Saccharomyces cerevisiae S288C: one gene and its partner. The protein of the gene in region 1 binds, or shares a complex with, the protein of each later gene. Each region holds a gene or a part of one and is shown on either strand. Other genes may lie near its edges. A codon is read from its position in the direction of its gene.

Evidence for each region.
Region 2: the proteins of RBG1 (region 1) and TMA46 are in contact, whole or in part, in a crystal structure (PDB 4A9A), measured with the Saccharomyces cerevisiae proteins. Residues at the interface, in NP_009364.1 of Saccharomyces cerevisiae: Ser83 (codon at 2,045), Lys84 (codon at 2,048), Leu85 (codon at 2,051), Thr86 (codon at 2,054), Gly87 (codon at 2,057), Thr88 (codon at 2,060), Glu89 (codon at 2,063), Val106 (codon at 2,114), Ile107 (codon at 2,117), Arg108 (codon at 2,120), Tyr109 (codon at 2,123), Lys110 (codon at 2,126), Gly111 (codon at 2,129), Lys113 (codon at 2,135), Leu150 (codon at 2,246), Val152 (codon at 2,252), Pro155 (codon at 2,261), Leu156 (codon at 2,264), Lys159 (codon at 2,273), Leu249 (codon at 2,543), Ile252 (codon at 2,552), Asp253 (codon at 2,555), Ser254 (codon at 2,558), Leu255 (codon at 2,561), Ser256 (codon at 2,564), Ile257 (codon at 2,567), Glu258 (codon at 2,570), Glu259 (codon at 2,573), Leu260 (codon at 2,576), Glu261 (codon at 2,579); in NP_014734.2 of Saccharomyces cerevisiae: Gln217 (codon at 2,813), Pro218 (codon at 2,816), Lys219 (codon at 2,819), Ile220 (codon at 2,822), Thr221 (codon at 2,825), Leu222 (codon at 2,828), Glu223 (codon at 2,831), Phe225 (codon at 2,837), Ile226 (codon at 2,840), Glu227 (codon at 2,843), Glu229 (codon at 2,849), Arg230 (codon at 2,852), Leu233 (codon at 2,861), Lys237 (codon at 2,873), Leu238 (codon at 2,876), Thr239 (codon at 2,879), Pro240 (codon at 2,882), Ile241 (codon at 2,885), Thr242 (codon at 2,888), Ile243 (codon at 2,891), Asn245 (codon at 2,897), Phe246 (codon at 2,900), Trp249 (codon at 2,909), Lys250 (codon at 2,912), His253 (codon at 2,921), Lys257 (codon at 2,933), Lys269 (codon at 2,969), Pro270 (codon at 2,972), Thr271 (codon at 2,975), Gly272 (codon at 2,978).

Annotation. Positions count from the first base shown.
Region 1 is NC_001133.9:74,226-77,950, reverse strand, and holds RBG1 (GTP-binding protein RBG1), read left to right. Parts: upstream 1-1,798; coding exon 1,799-2,908; downstream 2,909-3,725. Other genes in the region: FUN12 (translation initiation factor eIF5B), read right to left, coding at 1-1,524; YAL037W (uncharacterized protein), read right to left, coding at 3,128-3,725. UniProt on the Saccharomyces cerevisiae protein: Involved in ribosomal function.
Region 2 is NC_001147.6:491,269-495,123, forward strand, and holds TMA46 (translation machinery-associated protein TMA46), read left to right. Parts: upstream 1-2,164; coding exon 2,165-3,202; downstream 3,203-3,855. Other genes in the region: type 2C protein phosphatase PTC5, read right to left, coding at 1-1,573.

The DNA of each region.
Region 1 (3,725 bases):
TTCCAAACCATGCATAATGTCAATAACCAAAATTGCGATGTTACACAATGAAGAACCTCTTGAACGTAAGTTAGAGAAGGATTCGTGACCTGGGGTATCAATAACCAAAAGACCTGGGACATCAAAAGTTTGTTTTTCATATTCAGCCATAACTTTAGTTTTTGCCTTAATAGCGTCGATGGGGAAATAAGTGGCACCAATCTGTTGGGTGATGCCACCAGCTTCACCACCTTGAACGTTGGTTTGTCTGATTTTGTCTAACAATTTAGTCTTACCGGTATCGACATGACCCAAAATACAACAAATTGGGGAACGAAGATCTTTTTTGTTTGGAGAAGCGCTGGATGGAGTTGGAGTAGCTGCTGGTGTAGCTGCTGGTGTGCTTTTGGCAACTTCATGCACATGTGCTCTTTCTTCTTCTTCTTCTTCTTCTTCTTCTCCTTCTTCTTCTTCTTCGCCTTGATTTTGGTCTTCATTTTCATGGCTTGCGGTGGATTCTTGCGTTTCTTCGTTGGTTCCCTCCTCGTCATCATCACCAAGAGCCAAATTTTCCCAATCATCAATCAAAACATCTTCGGATTCTTTGAGTTCGTCATCAGGTACAACTTCCGAGTCTTTCTTAGAGTCAGATTTAATGGCTTCGGAGGCGTTTTCCTGGGTTGTTCTCTTCTTCTTCTTGCTGTAAACAACCTTCTTTGGTTTGTTTTCTTCTCCATCCTTCTTGGCCAGACCGGCAACTTTGACGTTACCGGAAGACAATAAAGCGGCACGTCTTCTTTCCAATAATTTCTTTTCTTCTTTTTGCTTTCTGGTCAATAGCTTACCTTCAGCCTTTCGTTTTTCACGCTTTGCCTTCTCCTTTTCCTTTTTAGCTGCTTTAGCTTCTTCCTTCATTTTTTCTTCGTTGGCCAATCTTTCCTCCTCTTCTTTCTCCAATCTTTCTTCTTCCTCTCTTTCCAACTTTTCTTGTTCTTCAAGTTGTTTCTTCAATTCTAATTGACGTCTCAAAGCAGCCAAACCGGCAGGTACTTTCTTGGCTGGCTTCTTAGCACTAGCACTTGGTTTATCACTTTCACCTTTAGATTTTTGGGATTTCTCAGCAGCAGCCTTCTCAGCAGCAGCTTTTTCAACATTTTGCTTGTTCAACTCCTTGTTCTTCTCCTTTTGAGCTTGCTGTTGGGCCTTCTTCCTGGCAGCTTGTTCTTTCTTCTTCTGCTTCTCCTTTTCCTTTTTTTCCTTCTCCTTTTCCTTCTTGGACTTTAGTATAGGCTTACCATCCTTCTTCTCTTCAATAACCTTCTTTTCTTGCTTCTTCTTCGATTGCTTCAAAGTAGACATGAAGTCGCCTTCAATGGCCTCAGCACCTTCAGCACTTGCACTTGCTTCTCTGGAAGTGTCATCTGCACCTGCGCTGCTTTCTGGATTTGGAGTTGGCGTGGCACTGATTTCTTCGTTCTGGGCGGCGTCTTCTTCGAATTCCTCATCCCAGTAGTTCTGTTGGTTCTTTTTACTCTTTTTCGCCATCTTTCACTTATCTGATGTTCCTGATTGCCCTTCTTATCCCCTCAAAGTTCACCTTTGCCACTTATTCTAGTGCAAGATCTCTTGCTTTCAATGGGCTTAAAGCTTGAAAAATTTTTTCACATCACAAGCGACGAGGGCCCGTTTTTTTCATCGATGAGCTATAAGAGTTTTCCACTTTTAAGATGGGATATTACGGTGTGATGAGGGCGCAATGATAGGAAGTGTTTGAAGCTAGATGCAGTAGGTGCAAGCGTAGAGTTGTTGATTGAGCAAAATGTCTACTACAGTTGAAAAAATCAAAGCTATCGAAGATGAAATGGCCCGTACCCAAAAGAACAAGGCCACATCTTTCCATTTGGGTCAACTGAAGGCCAAGCTGGCCAAACTGAGAAGAGAATTGTTGACCAGTGCTTCATCCGGCAGCGGTGGTGGTGCTGGTATTGGTTTTGATGTGGCTAGAACTGGTGTGGCCAGTGTGGGGTTTGTCGGGTTCCCGTCGGTGGGGAAATCTACATTACTGTCCAAGTTGACTGGTACTGAGTCTGAAGCAGCTGAGTACGAGTTTACCACCCTGGTTACCGTCCCCGGTGTCATTCGTTATAAAGGTGCCAAGATCCAAATGTTGGATTTACCTGGTATTATCGATGGTGCTAAGGATGGTAGAGGTAGAGGTAAGCAAGTTATTGCCGTGGCAAGAACCTGTAACCTGTTATTTATCATCCTAGATGTGAACAAACCCTTGCATCATAAGCAAATCATTGAGAAGGAACTGGAAGGTGTGGGGATTCGTCTGAATAAAACTCCGCCAGATATCTTGATCAAAAAAAAAGAGAAAGGTGGTATTTCCATCACAAACACAGTCCCATTGACCCATCTGGGGAATGACGAAATCAGAGCCGTTATGAGCGAGTACAGAATAAATAGCGCTGAGATTGCCTTCAGGTGTGATGCCACTGTGGATGATTTGATTGATGTTTTGGAAGCTTCGTCAAGAAGATACATGCCTGCCATCTATGTGTTAAACAAGATTGATTCTCTGTCAATAGAGGAATTGGAATTACTTTACCGAATTCCTAATGCCGTGCCTATTTCGTCTGGTCAAGATTGGAACTTGGACGAGCTGTTGCAAGTCATGTGGGATAGACTAAATCTAGTCCGTATTTACACTAAACCAAAGGGCCAAATACCAGATTTTACCGACCCTGTGGTGCTAAGATCAGACCGTTGCAGTGTCAAGGATTTTTGTAACCAAATTCATAAATCTTTAGTGGACGACTTTAGAAATGCTCTGGTTTACGGTAGCAGTGTCAAACATCAACCTCAATACGTGGGGTTGAGTCACATTTTGGAAGACGAAGATGTTGTTACCATCTTGAAAAAGTGATTCTCGAACAAAAAATAATATAAGAAATGAAAAAAAAAAAAAATAATTCATAATTGAATATACAAGCATTTGTATTCGAAAAGGGGGTATCGGTTATTTTTTTTCGCTGTTTTTCTTCCACCGTTTGAGTATAGAGCATCTATAACATTTAATTATCTCTACATAATGAATAAAAAAAACAGTCGTAATAATTAAAAATGTTATGCTACCGAGGGCTCTTCAAAAGCGACCTCGCTTTGTGGTACCCATAAGCATTCTGTTATCGATCGTAGAGTTTTCTGGTAAATTGACACATCTCCTCTTGACTGAGCTCGTCTGCCTACGTTTTAGAATTTCCTGGGTTTGGCCAAACTCCCACAGTTCTTTATCATTCAGAATATCGAACTCATCGGATGTACTGATGGATATGTTCAGGGTTGCTTTCATATATTGCAAAGAATCCTGGATGGTCACTAGTGGATAGTAGGTCATCACCCTGGAAATAAGAAATTTGAGAAGTGCGCAATCATAGGAATGTGATGATATAACCAAGATATTTCCAAAATGACTAAATGACTTAAAGAGTGCCAACAGATCGTTGAATGCCTGGTACTGTACCAAGGGCTCACCACTGAGGACATTCGAATTACAAAACTGGGGCAGTGATTGGATTGTATCGGTTTGTGCCTGTGTTAAAGATGTTTTTATCTTTTTGCCCATCTGCAAGTACTGTCCAACGAATTTCTGTAGTAGTATTGTATTGTTTCGTATATACAAATCAATTGCGGCCTTCTTTGTTGCTACTGCTGCTGTAGTTGGTGAGCAAAGATTCACGACT
Region 2 (3,855 bases), on another chromosome or scaffold:
GTATACTTACCAATGCCGATACATATTCTTTTCTTCCGCCCGCACTTAATGCATTTCTAATTAAATGAGTGGCGACGTTTTTGTCTTCAATAAGATACTCTGGGTTTGATCCTGATGGTGAGCTCGAATTATTATCCTTGTACCTGAATGCCGGTCTTTGTGCTTCCTTGTCTTCAGATACATCGATAACTTTTGGTAATTTCCCCGGTTCTGCCTTCACAGGTGCCAGATTCATATTTTTATCCATCCACCTGATAACCAAGGAAGCAATTTCTTCATTAGTTAGTAATTCGAATAAACCATCCGAACCCATCACCATAAATTTAGTGTTCTCACCAATTTTGGCAGAAGTAATCACTGGTTCCGCAGTGACATATGGGGGTGTCTTGAAATCCCTTGGCTCTCTTCTAAAATAAAGTTTGGCAACTTCAGGCAAATCCGATAATGGTTTTCCATCGACTTCTTTGATCTTGTAGCGATAGTCTCCAAATGCCCTGGATGGTTGTAATGAACCCAATATTCTTCCGTTTCTTATAACGTTTGGTTCTCCTGGATGTTCTTTCCTAATTCTCCGTACTTCATCCAAATTATCACCGGTCTGGTCGGTGGATAGCGACTTTACCGTCCAATTGCCCTCGTTGTCCAAACCACAAATTAAAGCCCTTGAGTCTCCAGTGACAGCCACTTTCAAAATTGAGTTAGTGGAGTTGTATAAACTTAATAGTGCACAAGAACCAGAAATCGCTGGTAAAGTGTTTGCAATATTTGTGTTGTTTGGATCTTGAAACAGCTTCCTGAACGATTCGATTACAAGATCATTATCTAGTTTCAAAAAACCTTTCGAAATTGCAGAATCGATTAATTGGTTGGGGTCGGAATGGAAAACCGTTTTGTTCTGGTCATATACCTGACCTAATTGATACGCTACATAACGGACTAGATCTTTAGATAATTTTTCCGAAGTGAAAGGACCACCATGTCCATCAAAAATTCCAAAAAAATACAAATCCTTCTCTATGGACTTGCCATCCTCACTTTCTATCGGAATGGTAATGATTTGTTCTACGTGATCGTCTTCTATTGGATGGTTAGAGGGCAACTGTGCCACATCATACCTGAATATACCAGTGCCACGGTTAACAAAATGGCTTTCCTCTCTATCATGTAGTTTAGCCTCTATTTTAGAATCGTTCAAGATAAGAACAGATTGGTCATTCTGAGACCGTTGACTCTTTTGTGTCTCTGTTCCTTTTGGATTAGGTGACGGCATGTTAATGTTACCACTAGTATTTGTAGAATAATCTTTTATTCCGTTAATTGTATCAAGGGAGAGGATCTTTTTAGGGGAATAGTAGGAGTAGGTCAACAGTAGGGACCCGCTTAGTAGAGCAATGTTTAGAGCTTTAGAATGTGATGATATGAATAGCTTTGTCCTTGAATAGTATGTGCTGTTGGCATGTGATGTTGAATATGCACGTTGGAGAAACTTCTGTGTGTATTCTCTACCAGATTGACATTTAGATAGAACCTTAACCGTTTTCTTTATAGCTACGGTTCTAGTTAAGGGAGACATGGAGAGATTGAGAGAAGTAAAAGCACTTCTTCTGTTGAAAAATTTCAGTAGAGCACAAATTCAATTAAAGTAGCAATAGATGTTTCTTTTCCTGCCTATCACACGATTTCGTTTACCCTCCAATCGATCCTTTTTTTCTTTTTTGTATCTTGTGTAGAAAGAAGTGAATCCTGTTTTTCTACATAATGAAGGGCCGGTAACTGCTCATTACTGAGTTTTAAAGTAGAAAATAAAAATGTATGCAATTGGTCGCCAATACCTGATAACTAAGAATGTAACTATGCAAGGGATAAGGAAATTTAGTCAATGCTGCCCATCACACCCTGAACAGCACAAGATTGCAACCTCTGAGAGTATTTCTTAAGTTGGAGACTAGTGGAGGAAATGAATTGGCACGTAGCTCGTCGAACATGATGAACTGTGATGATAATGAAAAAATTTTTGTTCCCCAGCGATGAGTTAGTGAAAATCGACAATATATCTTTTTTTAATCAATGTGTTTTACTATTTCTAGAAAGCAAGGGAAGCCACTCTATTAGTAAACCTCTGGGCTTTACACATATAAAATCGCAGGAAAGTTATATTTCGAAGATGCCACCAAAAAAGGGAAAACAGGCCCAAGCGGCTGGTAAGAAGAAGGATAATGTCGACAAGACGTTCGGTATGAAGAACAAGAACCGTTCTACCAAAGTCCAAAAATACATCAAACAAGTGCAATCACAATCCGACCCCAAGAAAGAAGAGATGAGGTTAAAGAAACTCGAAGAAAAAAAGCGCAGAGAAGCCGAAGAAGCTGAACGAAGAGCACTATTCAACCCTGTAGCAGACCAAAGGGTTCGTGCGGGTGTAGATCCCAAGTCCATGGTTTGTGCTCTGTTCAAACTGGGGAATTGTAACAAAGGTGCCAAATGTAAGTTCTCACATGACTTGAACGTCGGTAGAAGAATGGAAAAGAAAGATTTATACCAAGATACAAGAAGTGAAAAGGAAAATGACACAATGGACAACTGGGATGAAGAAAAGCTGAGAAAAGTTATCCTGTCGAAGCACGGTAACCCAAAGACCACCACCGACAAAGTATGCAAATACTTCATCGAGGCCGTGGAAAACGGTAAATACGGTTGGTTTTGGATTTGTCCTAACGGAGGTGACAAATGTATGTACAGACACTCCCTACCAGAGGGCTTTGTGCTGAAAACCAACGAGCAAAAGAGGCTCGAGAGGGAGTCGCTCGAGAAACAGCCAAAAATTACGCTGGAGGAGTTTATCGAAACAGAAAGAGGGAAACTAGACAAATCCAAGCTAACACCAATAACAATTGCCAACTTCGCCCAATGGAAGAAGGACCACGTCATCGCAAAGATTAACGCTGAAAAGAAGTTATCTAGTAAGAGGAAACCTACTGGTAGAGAAATCATTCTTAAGATGAGCGCCGAAAACAAGTCATTTGAGACGGACAACGCCGACATGCCAGACGACGTCACCCAGGGATCCGCATGGGATCTTACTGAATTCACAGATGCCTTGAAGAAGGCTGACCACCAAGACGACGGCGGCATCAAGGACTACGGTGACGGTAGCAACCCCACCTTCGACATCAAAAAAGCCAACTCCGCCACGCTCGCATAGTCTAAAATTCATATAGACTAAACTGTATATATGCCACCGTATATATAATACACGCACACACACCAACACAAAGCATGTCACGTCATGTAGCTGATCACGCAGCACGACCGCGGCCCATGCTTATCTGCCGTCTTTTTGCCCCTTTCGATATCCCACGCCCCACGCCCCCACGTTGTTGAGGTGTTTTTTCACCTCGGATCCGCCCGACAATATCTGGGATTAAAAGTGCTCGAGTTTTGCTCTCTATTTCACAATCGGTGATAGTTGAGCTTCCTTTCACTGCATCTCTTTGCAGCCTCGGGGGATGAGGCTATATACTTAGAGGGCCTGAATATATGTTTGACGCATCCCTCCTTCGTACGCTACCATCTGTTACTCTTGCACCGTTATTATATGCTTGTAATTTTTGTTATATAATAGGCCTTTCATTGTTTTTAATATAGACTTTCATCATAGGGCATCCGGAATTTCTTCTCAGAAGCCTCGCAATTTTTCTTTATATTAGGTTTTTCAGACTTTACATTTGTACAGAAACTGCGTATTGTTGACCATTACCGAGAGGAAGATAAAAAGGCATAGATAGTTAAGTTTAGCATTATAGAACCAACACAAACAAAACAATAGAAGACAAAGAGTAAGTTCAAGACAAGTAG